Notamacropus eugenii: one gene and its partner. The protein of the gene in region 2 interacts with the protein of the main gene of each other region in a biochemical or structural test. Links are inferred from orthologs where the notes say so. Each region holds a gene or a part of one and is shown on either strand. Other genes may lie near its edges. The genes, in order: HDAC9 and PKD1.

The links.
Region 1: the proteins of PKD1 (region 2) and HDAC9 form a complex in vitro, tested with the Homo sapiens proteins (2 studies listed by BioGRID, with this or other methods). The link is inferred for Notamacropus eugenii from reciprocal best matches to the Homo sapiens genes PKD1 and HDAC9.

The regions. Positions count from the first base shown.
Region 1 is NC_092874.1:10,742,318-10,750,374, reverse strand, and holds the start of HDAC9 (histone deacetylase 9), read right to left. Parts: upstream 3,207-8,057; 5' UTR 3,046-3,206; intron 2,099-3,045; 5' UTR 1,909-2,098; intron 1-1,908. UniProt on the Homo sapiens protein: Responsible for the deacetylation of lysine residues on the N-terminal part of the core histones (H2A, H2B, H3 and H4).
Region 2 is NC_092872.1:48,001,964-48,009,993, forward strand, and holds the start of PKD1 (polycystin-1), read left to right. Parts: upstream 1-4,907; 5' UTR 4,908-4,922; coding exon 4,923-5,209; intron 5,210-8,030. UniProt on the Homo sapiens protein: Component of a heteromeric calcium-permeable ion channel formed by PKD1 and PKD2 that is activated by interaction between PKD1 and a Wnt family member, such as WNT3A and WNT9B. Both PKD1 and PKD2 are required for channel activity.

The DNA of each region.
Region 1 (8,057 bases), on a different chromosome or scaffold from region 2:
CGCTAATCCTGACCAGACATCCTCCTCTCACTAAAGGCCAATTCTTTTTCTCACTTAACAAGCATTTATTTTCTCTCCCTACCAACTCCCCTCCCCTCAAAAAATGAGAAAGAAAAATAAGCCCTCGTAGTAAATATGCCTGGCTAAGCAAAAGCAGCGCTCTCATTGGCCATTCTGCATGAGACCCTCTCTTCTCTGTCAGGGTGTGGGGGACAGGTTTCATCATCTGTCCCCTAAGAGAGCCAATGTTCCTGTTAGTTAGGACAGTCTTAGGGCCTGATCTTCAAACCTCTTAATGTATCCCTCAACACCCAGTACAGCTAGAAGACTAGGCACGCATCAGGCTCTGGGACTTACTAGTAATATTACTCAGCAAGTCACAAGTGCTCTGAGCTGCGTTTCCTCACCTGTAAAATGGGCACATTAGCACAGGCATCACCTACTCATCATACTGGAGCAGTCTGTCAGTCAGAAGTTTTCAAACTTGTGGTCTTAAAAATAAAGAAAGCTCCTCTCCTAAGAGCATTTACATCTACCGGCATTTTCTGAATTAGAAGTTAGAATGTCTTAACATCATTATGCAGGTAGTTTTAACTTTGTGGAGCCCCCAAAAGGGACCGTAGGAACTCCAGAGGTCTCCGACTCACCTTTTGAGAGGCCCCACTGTAAACCATCATATCCCGATGTAAAACCTCGGGAATACTTAACTCATAGTTATGTGGTGATCACACGAGATGGTAGCCGCAGTAACAACACCACAAACACACATATAGACCTTTTAAAGCTTGTACCCTTTTCTAACTGAGCCTGAAGGGGGGATACTGAGTGGAAGGTGTTATCCTGCCCATTGTATAGATAAGGAAAATGAGGCTCAGGAAGGTTAAGTGGCCTTTGTAATATTATACAAATCACAAGTGTCCAAGGTAGAATTTGAACTAAGATCTCCTAGACTTAAAGCTCAGCATGCAGCCCACCCTACCAAGCTGCCTTAAAAGATTATATCTCAATTATTAATGTGATTACCTTAATGGCTAAACTCACTCTTGTTAAATCGGAGCCCCCCTCCCTAAATCCCTTACTCTCCGCAAACAAACACACAGGGGCCTCCTCCCAGGCAATGCTGCTTAGTCTCAAAGACATTACTCATTGACCCACCAGCCTCTCTACAGTCTCAGGTCAAAATCTGACAACTCTGTCCATAGACGACCTTCCCCCAACTTCTTCATCAAGGACTGTTTACTTTGGCAAGAGCTCCTGTCTAAAGGATGCCTCAGGTGGGTGTCAACTGGTCATCTTCTAATTTAGATACCCATCATCTCACCCAGTGATCATTCCCATTCTTCAAAGGCATATAGATCCATTTTGAAACACTCCACCTCTAACTGCGAAGCCAAGAAACCAGGGAGAAAGAAATGGAATCCAAAGGCTGCCATTTCCCTAAGAACCTCCTTGTTCCCTATAGGTGATGCCACATCTCTGGCCTCTTGTCTTTTCTCAGACCGCTCTCCAGGTCTGGACCATACCCTGAGCTCTGCCTTTTCAGAATCCCCCTAACTCCTTCCTGGGGGATGGGATGCTCAAGCTCCATTTCTTATGGAGCCTCCTCAGAGAAGTTACTTCTCCCTCCCCCAACAAATTACATTGCATTGTGCACAAACATACACACACATGTCCAAACACACAGACACACATGATCACCTCCAGTAAAATATAAACTCTTTGAGAACAGGACCTATTTCTTTTTCATCTTTGAATCCCTAGAGACTAGCACAGTGTCTGGCATATAGTAGATGTCTAATAAATGCTTATTGAACTCAATTGGGCTGTCTTCCCACCCCCAGACTGGGGTCTGGGGAGGGGGTAGGAATCAGGAGCCATTAACCCATTAAGCCCTGCTTCCCAGAGTACCTTTCTCCAGGTGGCCCTGTTCCTAGAGTGGCACATGACTTCCACACACAGCTAGTCCTACCTCCTTAAACAAGAGGCAGTGTGCTATAATGAAGGAGGCTGGGCTTCAAGGCAGGAGAGATACAGACACACATAATTATGTAGCTTTGGGCATTGATATCATCACCTCAGCAAGCCTCAGTTTCTTCACCTGTAAAAGAGAGTTAATTTAATCTGTAACTTCTTCCTCAAAGGTTTATTGAAAGGAAAATGTCATGCAAATGTGAGTTACAATGATTAGAACAGCATGGACTTCAAGTCAAATAACCTGAGTTTAAATTTTGCCATTGTTACTTTCTACCTGTGTGGCTCTAGACAATTCACTTGACCTAAGCCTCTACTTCCTGCTTGGTAAAGTGAGAGCATGGGACAAGATGACCTCCAAGCTCCCTTCCAATTCTAGAGCCATAATGCTACCATCCTATGTTAACATAGCATGAATTCACATGAGTAACCAATTGGTTGTCATAGGAAACAATAAAACAAAATCTCCTCTCCTGGTGCCTCTATCCTAAGAGAGTCCCATTCTGCTCACAGATGGATGCTCCAATGGCTTTATGAAGAGTAGATCTGCAGTAGCCCTGCTGCCAATGAACGATGCTGAACCCCCTTTAGGAAGCCAGTTCTCTAAGCCAAAGAACAGCAGGGCAAGATAGCACAGTACAGTCTCTGAGAAATCCCGAGTTTGGTCTGGCGTCTTCTGATGGCTCTCATAGAGCTATGTGAGCTGAGAAGAAATCACTGGGGCTGTGCAAGGACAAGGACGAGGTCCTAGGTTGTGGAGAAGCAGCCTGGCAGAGGGGAGAGTCAAGAAGCCCAAGGTTGAACCTCCACCCCTGGCACTCAGCAGGTGGTGAGAGTACAGACTAACCTCCTCTCCAAGTTCCTGTTTCCTCATCTGCAAGTTGGCAATAATGAAGCATAAAGCACCCACCTCCCAATGGCATTGTAGGAATCAAATGAGACCACATGCAAAGTAAACAGAGTTGGACCCCACCTATGGGCAATGCTGCTGTGAGGGGGTAGGGAGGGAGCATTTTAGAGAGACGGCTTCTAAGGCAGGGATTCCTGGGGGCAGGTTGTGCCTCTAACACTTACCTGCCAAATCACCTGATCTCTCAGTGCCCCAGGCAACTTTCTAGGATGAACAGGTGCTGATCTCCATCAGGGGAGGGAGTGTCTGCACCAAGACTTCCTTAGACTGATGGCATCCCAAATAAGTCAGCTGACATTATGATGTCATAGTGTGGTTCATAGCTACTGACCTGATGAGAGCCACATGACATGAATCAATTCCAGCATGCCTTGAACAAGTGACTCTATTTGTCTTGAATCTCTTTGTATTGTTTCCCCTCGTGAAATGTCAGGTCCTTGAGGACAAGGGACTATTTCATTTTCCTCTGCTTCTCCAGAGCCTATCACACTCGCTGGTACCTGGCATGCCTTTAGTAAATGCTTGATTAACCTTTTTAAAAATCCACTAAAATAACCCTTTGATGCCTCATCATGGCAAGAGGGAAACCATGGGAGCTCCCTAGCTAGGCTGGCAAAGTGCCTGGCCAGGGGGAAAGGCTGCAGTTGTGGGACCAGGGATATCCAGCCTGGCTAAGGTCAGGGGGCCCATCCCCACACTGCTCATAGCCATTCTCCTAACTTACATATTCAGCAATGCCCAAGTTGTGACATACCTCTGGAGAGGGAAGACCTTCCCTTCCCTTTGGGAGACAACATCCCAGCAACCTCTGCTGATGCCACAATATAGACTTTTCTCAACAATACAGTTTACCAGGATTAGGGGGTCAAGAGTAACCAAAAGGACCCAGGACCTGGTATAGCGCCTGCTGCCATCATGTATTCCATTGGAAGAGGATTGGTCTACCACCAGGCCCCAGGCCTGGATGGAAAGAAGAGCTGACAGAATCAGCTTCTCCCCCAGCCCCTACCCCAGAAGTCTTTCCATAACCCTATCTTGCATAAGGGCACAGATGAAGATTTGCCATCACAAATGAGGAGTAAACAAGGGATAGTGTGGAGAGAGCCATAGGCACATTGAGTTTGAGATGGGGAAGGGACCTCAGTAGCCAGCCAGTCCAACCTGGAGCCCACTCTACTATACCTGAGAGATGGGTTTCCAGCTTCCCCTAGAAACCCTCCAAAAAGGGAGGTGGACCATCTCACTGAGGGCCTGCTTCCTTTCTTAGGAAGGTTTTCCTTCAGCTTCAACTGGCCTCTTGGTGACAAAAGGTCTCAAGTTCGTGAAACATATTTGGACAAATTGAGGAAACTGGGTCTATTTAGACTGGAGAAGAGAAAACTTAGTAGAGACCAGGGAGCTACCTTCAAATCTCTCAAGGGCTGTCGTGTGAAAGAGGAATTAGACTCATCATTTTAGACAGAAATTGTCTGAAACAGAGAAGATCCTTTAAACATGCCTGTGAAATTGAACCAAAAGTAGAATAAAGTTGTATAAAGTAGAAGAGGCCACCTCAAAGCTGGCCCCTCAAAATAAGCTGGTCTAATGAAAATCTATCCTCTCTCATTAAAGGTGTTAATGTTGTCCTTGACCTGATTCCTTCCAGAAGATGAAAGGTACTTACATATCCTAGGGATACGCTTCTGCCTTTAAAAAAGCAGACATGAATATCTTTACAGACTTCTACACACCTGGGGTCAAGAAGAGAGAATTTGAGAAAATGTTCCCCTCATTTCTATGAATCTTTAATTATGCATCACATTCTTAAATGTTATCACCTGACATTTAAAATCTTATTCTCCTGAACACCTTTGGCAAGTCTATGTTTCCTCATTTTATGCCTCACTTGATGTAAATGATCAGAGGATCTAACCAGGTTATTTCTGTTGTTAGAGCTTTCAGAGAATTTTTTGTAATTAAAAGGAATTGCCCCCAGAGGGCAATGGGGAGGCATATGGTGGGTGTGAGCAGGCTGCCACACATTACAAATAAAAAAATTACAAAAAAGGTTGGAATAGAGGATGTCGTGCAAGGAGCCATTATTCAGAAAGTTCTTACTTAGCACAGTGCCTGGCACATAGTAGGCATTTCATAAAATGTTTGTGCAGAAGTAGGTGACTGACAGAGAGAACCCCCAGTGTGCAGCCTGCATGCCTCCCTGCTGCCTTCAGGAAGTCAGGAGAATTCAGGGAAGATTCTCGGACTTCCTGCTGGGGTGGGGGCTCCCCCTGTGGCCCACTTATAAGAGGATATGAACAAGAGGCATGTGGAATGGGCAGTCATGGATGGTTTGCAATTTGCACCATGGGAGGGAACTCCCAAATTGGTGAGATCACAGCCCCAGGGAAGCATTTCTTTAAACCGTTTTCCTATAACCTCGAAAAGAATCAGAAGCTTTTCCATCAATCACCTGCAATTGCCTCCCTCAGTTGCACTAAAATGAGCATTAACTCACCTTGGGAAACAAGGTTCTCCCCATGCCTCACTCATGTCTAACTCACTGTCCCATGAAAGCTGGGCTTCCAGAGTTCCCAAGATGAAGAGGGCTCTGCCATGGCCTCTTGGCTCTACAGAAATACTATGTTTACCCTAATCCAGATGGAAGAAACCTATTTGCTACATTCCTGGAAGTGGAAGGGAAATCAGAAGCTGCCTAGTCTTGAATAAGAATCCCCTCTAAAAGATAACCAATGGGTCTTCCAGCCTTTGCTTGAAGGCCTTCAAAGAGAGGATCTCCACCATTTTTTGAAGTAGCCCGTTCCACTTTGGGACAGTGCTCATTGTCAGGGATTTTTTGTCTCTTTATTACTTCCACCCATCGCTCCTCATTCTGGTTCTCTGAGGTCAATCAGAACTAAGCGAAATTCTCCCTCACATGATAAACCTCCCAATACTTAGACTAATTCATAAGAATTTATTGAGCACTCATTATTGGCTACACCATATTAGGAGATAAAGGTACAAAGATGACCCTTACGGAACGTTTTGTTGTCTTCAGAGAGACCAAAGGCAGCCACCATCCCCAGCCCCTCCCAAAGGCTTTTCTTCTGTAGACCAACCATCCCCAGTTCCTTCTGGTGCTCCTTCTATCAATCAGTTTTCTCCATGACTACATGTTACTCATGGAGAATTTTCAGATTTATGACAGGATGGTAGTAAAAATTCTATTCTAGTCTCAAAGACACAACTTTCAAATTTTGTTTTTCCATTTCCTATATTAAGATCCTTCAAATTAAAATATGTATAAAACCAAATGGTACAATTGCCTTTGTTGATAACTGGAACATTTTTATTGATAAGGAACCTTAAAGGAAGGCTCCTTGGACGTGTCTACAGTCATAGTTACATAAACATACTCAGCCTCTGGCTGTCAGCGAGAAATAAACCTTCTTGATTTTTATCTTGAAAAACTGTCACATGCTCAGCAATATGAAAGAAATGCTCAGCTATTATGCTTAATTAGAAGTGTTTTTCCCAGAATTGCAGAAAATGAGAAATATTGTGTGGCCAATTATCTAAACATAAAGAGAAATGATTTCACCGACACAATACTTGGGATCTGTACAGTTTCCATATTTGAGCTTATTTGAAAAAAATGAACAATAAGAGATTTGATGAAATCTGGCTATGTTGGAGGGGGGGAGTTAAGTTGAGGGAAAAGGATAATCTAGCACAATTTACGCATTTTGAATTTGGACAAAATACATGGGTGGGGGTGGGGAGTAAGTCTAAGGAGAAAAGGATGCAATCTTTCTGCCTTTCCCACTGTCTCATTGACTTTCCATTAAAAGTTTCTTTTCTTTCCACATGGCTTATTTCCATCTCCTTGTCTAAAGTCTCCACTCTGGTCATCAGCTCCAGTCATGATCCCATTATTTTTCCAGTGGACAATAACCTAATTCCACTATCTCTTCTAACTATTGGGTCCAGGGAAGAGAAAGAATTGGACAAGTGAAGCTTCTGATTAGAAGAGGGCAGTGAGATGGGACAGACCCCTTGCCTGCCACAAATGGGAGCCAGATAACTCAGATTCAGTGATGTGAGATGGAAAAGAAGTTAGGGCCAAAGAGATAAGTATCTCTTCACTTGTGACCAGAGCCTGGGCAGCTGAGCCAGGGGGCAGCATTGGCCTCCATTTGGTGTATTACATCCATCTCCATGTCTCATGGTATAACAAATCCCAGATACTAGGTTCCTACATCTTTAAATACTGCCCTATTGAAAGCACGAGGCAAAGATGTAGTAAGGAGCTGGCCATTTTGTCTAAACTCCCTTGCCTCCTCTCAGGAGAAATGGTCATGGGGACCTAAAGAAATCCAAAGTGTTTTCTTCTTCCAATTCCTAGGTTTAGAGAGGTTTATGTACCATCTGGGACCATCAGGGTCTAGGACGCTGATAAGCATCTATATACCCAGGAGATTTCTTTTTATTATTTACTGTTCATTGTTTTTATTTTTCCAATACTAAAAAGTAAGCGTTGTGTATACTCTCCAAGAACGGCTATCTGGTTCTCTGGGGATCCATTTCCAATACACCAAGGTCATGTAAAACAGCAAATTCAGGGAAGAGAGAGAGTTTGCCAGAGACAAGAGCTTGAGAACTGATTCTGATTGGGTAAATCTACAAGAGACCACACCTCCTAGAGGAAGAGTTTTTAAATCTCTTCTGTGTTTTGGATGACTCTGATGGTTGGGTAAAACCAGAATGACCAGAGAACCAGTCTTTCTCTGAATCTTGTTTTTAAATGGTTAAAGTTAGTGGTTAGAGGTTAGTGAAAATAAAGACGTAATTTCTTTTCCCCCTTCCAAGTTCATGGTCCCTCTAAATCCATCCGTGACTCCTAGGAGATCTATTTAACTCTTGCCCTAGAAAGAGAGAGTCATGTTGCTCCTCAAAGGGAGATAGGGAGGAAGGATAAAATGTTGACCCTTGTCTGTGAACAATAGGGAATCTAGCACTTCCAACCAATGAGATATGCATGGATACACATGATGATGAGGGTGACTGTGGCATATCCAGGTTCAGATCCTCCTCAATGGGTCCAAGACAGTGACGATCAACCACTTGGGGATTAACTGAGCATAAGACAGAATGGAGAGGCAACCTGGCAGAACAGAGAGAAGATCAGCCTTGCAGT
Region 2 (8,030 bases):
TATGTATAGTTTTGCTAAAGACTTCCATAATAGTCATGTTGTGAAAGACTAACTATATTTCCCTCCATCCTATCCTGCCCCTCATTTCTTCTCTTCTCTCTCTTGACCTTATCTCTCCCCAAAAGTGTTTACTTCTCATTACCTCCCTCCTTGCATTTGCCCTCCCTTCTATCATCCCCCCACACCCCACTTATCCCCTTCAACCCTGCTTTCCTGTAGTGTAAGATAGCCTGCATTTATTTCTGAGGCAGTTAGGTGTGCAGTGGCTGGAGTGTTGGACTTGGAGTGGGGAAGACTTGAGTTCAAATCCTGTGTCAGACACTAGCTTTATGATCCATGGTAAGTCATTCAGCTTGTTCCTCAGCCTCAGTTTCCTCATCTGTAAAGTGGGAATAAAAATAGCATCTACTTTGTTGCCTGGTTATGAGGCTGAAATGAGATAACCTACGGAAAGTACTTTGTCAGCCTTGAAGCACAATACATATACTAGTCATCATAAATGCATTCTTCTCTTTACTCCCTTACCTGTACTTTGTACCAGCATTTTTGAGGTTAAGTAAAACCAGACTAGAAGTCAACTATTTGACAACATCTGTAATATTGTATACCCCTGGTTTCCCATCTCTCCAGCTGAATGAGGGAGATTCCCTTCATTTCAGTGAAAAGTTGTATTTAACCTTAACATGTTTCCATTGATCATAGTGGGCAGAAATATTCCTACCAAGCCTGAGGGTCTGACGACCTCTAAGACACTCCAGAAAGAGAGCCAATGGATGAGATCAAAGCCCTAACTCAACATTTTTCCACCTGGGGTAAGTGGGAGTAGTGGGAGGCTCACTTGGGATGTGGCAGGGGGAGGAACCCATATGATTTCTATGCTGCTGAAGGGCTGGATAGGGTTAGAGAGGAGGCTTCAGATGATATTGCTGGAGTTTCTAGGTTGTTGAAGGGGCAGAAAGTATGTTTTGGAATAAGACTGCAAGCCATTACCAAGGGGGCATGAGGCTAGAGTCAGGAGGAGACTTGTGGGCTGACACTACTCCCTGAGTGGGAGGAATGGAGGAGAAGCTGTCAGCACCCTCTAAATTTCTCACCCCACAGCAAAACCCCAGGAACTCCATCTTAGTTACAGCTTTGGGTAAGACAAACAGTTTAAATGGGACTCAAAACTTTAACAAACCAATAGCTTATTAGGTAAAACACATAAATAACAGTAATATGAAATACATATGAATAGATAAGAGGTACAGTCAAAACATTACATTTTCATGGCTAAGGTGGAGGGAAGGAAAAATCAAAGAAGGCTTCCTAGAAGAGGTAGCATTTGGCCTGGATGTATGGAAATATCAGTGAGAATGAGGAAAGAGGCGTCCCTCAGCATCACTAAGCTAGCTTATGGTGACTGACTCAACTTTCTCCTATTTTGCTTTGTCTGCTTGGAGTGACAAAACGGAGTAGGATGGAGTGGCCTTCATAATTAACTGGAAGTTCTTCTTAACCTTTTTGAGGAGGGCAGGGCTAGTGTAATTTAGCTGGGTGCCCATCTATTTCTCAGTGCCCCTGCTGCCCTCCTTCTGCTGCCCTCCTTTATGCCAACCCTCCCAGCTAAGGCCCCTCAGGCTGCCCCTATTCTATGTAAGGTGTCTCGTTCCCACATTCTTCTGTTCTTCTTGTTATCCTCCTCCTCCTCCTCCTCCTCCTCCTGGTCCTCCTGGTCCTCCTTCTCTTCCTGCTCCTTCTCCTCCTTCTTCTCCTCCTCCTCCTCCTCTTCCTTCTTCTTCTTCTTCTTCTTCTTCTTCTCCTTCTTCTTCTCCTTCTTTTTCCTTTTACTTTTTCCTGCCCTTCCCAACCCGAGTCAAAGAAAGGTGTTTGGTGATGGGGATGACAGCTGGTCTGAGCTGCTGGTATTGAGCAGTGACTCAGTGAGTCAGCATGTGCAAAAAAGAAATTATTTAGTTAGCTGGTGTCAGAAAAAAGAAAAGAAAAAAGGCCAGAGGCATATTCAGAGTATTCTAAAAAAGCCTTAGTGCAGCTTTAAGAAATATGTATAAATGAAATATATGAAATGTATACACATATATTTATGTGTGTGTGTATATATATACATACACACACACATACACATACATATATACATACACTCAGTTACAGTAACCCTTTTCCTTTCAAGAATACCTTTGTTAATTTTTTCTTTTTAATATTTTTTAATTGCATATAAAGACAATTTTGAACACTTATTTTTAAAAATATTGTTTCAAAATATGTTTAACATGATTGTACATGTATAATCCATATCAAATTGCATGTCAGCTTGGGGAGGGAGGATGGGAAGGAGGGAGAAAAACTTGGAACACAAAATCTTATAAAAAAATGAATGCTGGAATCTATCTTTGCATGTAATTGGAAAAAATAAAATACTATTTACTAAAAAAATTTTTTAAAAAACTTTTGAGTTCCAAATTTTCTCTCCTTTCCTCTCCCCTGACTGAGACAGTAAGTAGTTTGTTAGAGGTTATGCATGTTTGCTATTCATTCTAATTGGATTTCACATACACACACATATGAAAACAGAGTGTGAGTTACTAAAGCCCCAAACCTCCCTAGGGATGACTGTCCATTTCCTCTAATCCTCAGCCGACTCCTTGTGCCCAGCCAGAACTTCATTTAGATGTTAAGAGGAAACAGCCTCATTAAGTTTATCTCATGGTTGACATTTCAGTAAATGCAGTAGGAGCTTTCCTTTAAATTATACCTGTCCTTCCACCTACACATAAAGATGAGCTCCGGAGAAATGACCATTTGTGCTTCCTGTCATGAACAGGTCCTGTTCCAAACACGTCTTCAAAAGGAACATGGTGAAGTAAAAAGGACATCCCGTTAGGAGTCAAAGAACCTGAGTTGGAATCCTGCTTCTGCTTAGTCACCGGTGTGACTCTGGGCAAGTCTCTTCTGAACCTCAGTAGGCCTCAGTTTGAGTCATATGTAAAAGGAGGTACTTATACAAGATGACCTCTGACAGGTCTTCCAACTCTAGGCTCATTCTACCCCAGGGAAGCCCCCTGTGCCACTTAGTACATCCTTCCCAGTCGAACAGAAATCTTGGCTGTGGCAGCGTAAAATGCCAATTCACATAAATTGCTTAGTTGGGTGTCCTTAAATAAGTCACTTACCCTCTCTGAAACTCCATTTTATCATTTGTAAAATGGAATTGAATCTCTTGAAGGTTTCTTCTAGCTCCAAACTTCCATGATTCTTTTTAAAACACGAAGTAGCATAACCCTGGTTATGAGTTAGGTGTGTCATCTTTAACTCCTCCCTTCCCACACTGTCACCTGGTACTGATGAGTCTTTCTCTGAAATGTTTGTCCTATCCAGCCCTTCTTTTCCATTCCCATCTCCCTAGGAAACATCCCTTACAGCTAAAGGCCAGCAAAATTCAACAAGCATTTATTGTGTCTAACGAGTGAATTGGGAGTGATACAAGGATAAACACTAATCTGTGCCTTCCCTCTGGGAGCTCTTGTTGACGTCTCCCTTTTTTGAGCTCTCACAACACTGTGGACAATTAATGAGGACCTGACTCACAAGGCTCAACTGAGGCTCAGATGAGAATGTATAGTAAACCGTTAACAGCCTTATAAAAGTGCCACTTATTTTCATTATCACAGTATTGTCGTTTAGATATTTCATCAGTGTTTGTCGCTGACTCTCCAATGAGACTGCAGTTTCCGCAGGAACTGTACTTTGTGTTCGTAGGTTCACACACTCCGAGCTGGAAGGGTCTCGGAGGCCATTTAGTCCAAGTCCTGTTTTTGTAGATGAGGTAACGGGAGCTCACAGACATGACTTGCAGGGAGTGGGGAATCGAGGATTTGAATCAACTTCTTCTGAAGTTAGAGTCTCAGGACAAAGTTGCCTCCAAGATGCGGCTTGTTTCAGGGCTAAGCACAATGAATATCCTCTTGTGAATGTTTCCTGGAGCCAGAACTTGGGCTCCTTGAGGGCAGGGAATATTTTAATTTTTGTCTTTCTACCCTGGGTTCCTAGGAGGTGTTTCAAAATACTGGCAAACAAATAAAGGTTTTTGCGATTCTTGGAGAGGTTTGGACTGTATTTGGGGTCCAGGTGAAATCAGGGAAGGGTGTGGAGGTCGCTGAGCCCAGGGACAGTCGTGCTCAGAGACCCCTGCTCCTAGTCAGGGTAGGAGGAGGGTCCTGCGGCCGATCCCTGCCCTCAGAGCCCTAGGGCCCCATCCCAGGCAGGGCTGCATCCCTGTGGCCCAGAAAGCAGGGCGCGGGTACCCGAGGCGTCCCTTTCTCGGGGACAGGGACAGCTCGGGCAGGTTCCTGAGCCCAGGCCCCTGGAACACACGGGGCCATAAGGCACCAAGCTCCTTCCTTCCCTCGGCGGGAGCCCGGGAAGCCGGGAGCGCCGGGGCCGGGGCCCCCGAACCGCACCGCAGGGTCAGCCTGGGCGGCGAGGGTGGGCCCGGCCGGGCGCGGAGCCGACGCTGGCCCGAGAGGCGGAGGCGAAGGCGGCGGCGGCGGCGGCGGAGGGAGGCGGAGGCTTGGCTAGGTCCCCTCCTCCGGCCCGGCTCAGGGAGGAGCCCTAGCGACCCCGGCCCGGCACTGCACAGCGAGCGCGGCCTGGCCCAGGCGACGGCGGCAGCCGAGCCGGGAAGGAAGAGGTCGAGCCCGCCGCCGCACTCGCTGCCGCCGCCGTCCGTCCGCGCCGCTCTCCCCGCCGCCCGGCCCATGCAGCCCGGGAGCCCGGCGTGAGCGCTCCGGCCGGGCCTGGCTCCGGCTCCGGCTCCGGCTCCGGCTCTGGCTCCGGCCGCGGCTGCTGCTGCGGCTGCGGGGCGGCGGCCGCCGGGCTGGGCCGGGCCGGGCCAGGCCGGGGCCATGCGCAGGGTGCACTGAGCGATGCCGCGGGGACAGGGGCCGCCGCTCGCAGCCCCCTCCCCGCACGGTCATGGCGGCCCCCGGCCGCCCCCTGCTCCCGCGCCCGCCCCCGCCCGCCTCGCTTTCTGCCTTTGCCTGGGTCTCTGCCTCGGGGGCCTCTCCGCCGCCCCAGACCCGGGCTGCCAACCCTGCGGCCTTGAGTGCGATTGCACCCCGGGGCCCGGCGGTGCCTGCAGCGTCAACTGCTCCGGCCGCGGCTTGCGGGGGCTTGGGCCCGAGCTGCCCATCCCTCCCGACGTGACTTCGCTGTGAGTAACCGTTCCCCGCTCGCTCCGGCTTCTGGTCCGGCTCCAGCACCATCCTCAGCCCCTTGGCCTCCCTCTTCTCCACCTCCCTCCAGACCCCCAGCTCCTCCGGACCCCCCTCCACGCACAGCCTCTGCGACCCCCACCCCAGCGCTATCTGTGTTGTGATGCCCGGGACGGAAGTGGCACATCCCAGATGTCTGGGTTCACGTGGAGGTGGGGCACCCTTGCTGGGTGACACATCGTGGCTGCCTTGGGACAGGTTACAGTGTTTCAACAGGAGGTTACAGTGTTTCTACTTAGAGAGACTTTCGACTTGGAGATAGGAGGGTCTGGCTATTGCCCCCCTTCTCTTTTGGGGCACAGACCCACCCATAGGGAAGCTGTAAGCAATCTTGGAGGAGCAAGCAGATTGGGGATCTGGGTACCAGGGACCATCTCTGTACCAGTTGGCCCAGGGTAAGGGGGCCTACTCTCCCCTTCTTTCACTGCACTTTTCCCTGTTTTTTGCCAACTGGTCTTTGGCTGGAGATGCTGGCAGTGCTGTTGCCATGGCTTTGGGCCTGGAGGAAGGCAAGGGGGTGGGGAAGGACGGGGAGAACTGACTGAAAAAGTTGTGGGTAAGGCCTGACCATCTCTAAGCAGCAGGCCCGAATTCTGGTTCTGTGTTTGGTCCATGAAGGCCAAGAGAATGTTTGGTCTCCATGTACACTCCCGCTGTCTTCCCAACTTTCCCAGAGATCTAGATACAACCCCAGACAGAAACATACACACTTTGACAGCTGAACCTACATATCTATCTCCCTTCCTTACTTGGCTTGGCCATAGATATGTGGGATTTAGCATGGTTTTTTTGGGTGGAATTTTTGCAACGGTGTTTGGAAGATGGGGAATGTGTATGTTTGGCGCACTTAGATGGCAAAGACGTTATCACTAATCTGAAATGTATTTGGGCTTGCCCTGAAGTTAAGGGGGTCAAACCCCCACAAAATTCCGTTGGCACTCTTTGTCCCAGCCATCCTCTGTAGTTCACCCTGTAAAAGTGAAATTGTTATTATTTCTCTCCTAGATGGGGAGCAGGAGCTTGCCTGGCTTTGCTGTGGACAAAAAATGATGCATGTTAGAACAATGAAAACTTAGAACCATGTTTCAACTAAAGTTCAAACGTCTTTGCAGTAGAGAAGGAAACTCACAAGTCTTGCTGGGTGGAATTGGAGGAGAGAGGCCAATCTAGCATTCTGTCTAGGACTGCTCAGAACTGACTTTTCCCAAATTAGGAGATGTTTTGAGGGGGTTGTTTTAATCATTGTTGAATTGCTTCACTTGAACAACTGTCTGGTTCCTAACACCTTCCCAATTTTCAAGGTTAGGATGGTTTTGCTGTTCATGTCTCTAGTCACTTAGGAGTGTAAACTGTCCATTTGGATCCCTAGTGCCTTCTTTGAATTATGAGTCCCCAAGTCTAACATTCCCCCAGGATTCAGCCCTAGTGTCTAATGATCAGTTCTCTAGAGGTATGAGTCCAATATTCATGAGAATTATCTGTTCTGCTGCTTGAGAGATAACTCAAAGTATACTCCCTAGGATTCCTGCATCTAGATCAGTCTCATGTCTGGTGTGCCCTGGGGCCTGGAAGAGTGGCAGGTTTATCACCATTTGGCATATTTTTCATTATTTAATTATGCATTGTGTAATAGTTATTATGTACCAATTATTTGCTTATCGAATTGAGTTGTTTGCCTAACAATCACTATGTTGAGTAAAACTCATACGTACAGTTAAAAAAAAAGCCAGACCCCTGTGGCAGTGCTTAGGAGGAAATAGTTGGACATCTACCTGAAAAGGAGGCCAAGAAGGAAAAAAAATCTGCATACCTCACCTCTCTGTTATTGTCCATAGGAGCTTACATTTGTAGTTGGAAAGACTTTAGGCCAGAGGGATCAAGCTCAGGTCTGCAGGCTGCATACGTCTGGCCCCCCAAACTCGGCAGTGTGGCCTGAACCAGATTAAAATGTAACTAGGAAATGTTTAGCAAAATAAATAAAAATACAATAAAGATAATGTTTATTTATGGTTTTCTAAGTCAATATGTGGCTTTCAGGGACCTGCCTCTACTTTATTTGACTTTGATACTGCTTTAGGTTTTAGTGTCATTTTAGAAATGAGGAGACTGAGGCCCAGAGAAATTAGCTGGTGTGCACTGGGGTCTAGAAGAGTAGCAGGTTTATCACCATTTGGCATATTTTTCATTATTTTATTATGCATTGTGTAGTCGTTATTATGTACTGATCATGGAGAGTCACTGATGTAGTAAGTGATAGAGCTAACATTTGAATTCAGGACCACTGATTCCAAATCCTGGTAATAATGAGACAGATAATCTAGAAATCATTTTTGAATTTGGAATAAGTTGTGATATTTTGGAGCAGATGGACATTATGGAAACATTGTAGTGCAGTGTTTAAAATGAGCTTAAATGTTTTGAAAGCAAATGATCATGGTGTCAGGTGACCTAGAAGTATTCTGAGTAATGGAAGGTGACCTGGGACTCAACAATTGTTGTGACAAGCTACATGTGAATAACCATGAGTTGTTTGCATCAAGAAAAATACTTTCACTTTCTGGACGTTGGGAGAGAAAGTAGGATCCAAATCCCCCCTGTGCTTCAAGACTTAGAGCAAATAGTTCTTCCTTTCTAGACTACTCTCTGGCAGAGAGTCCCTTGTGATATTATTTCTACCAAAAACATGGTTGCTTTAAATTGTTATTACCCTCTGATATCATTTATCTTCGTACATATTTACGTCTTTCTTCCTAACTAGAT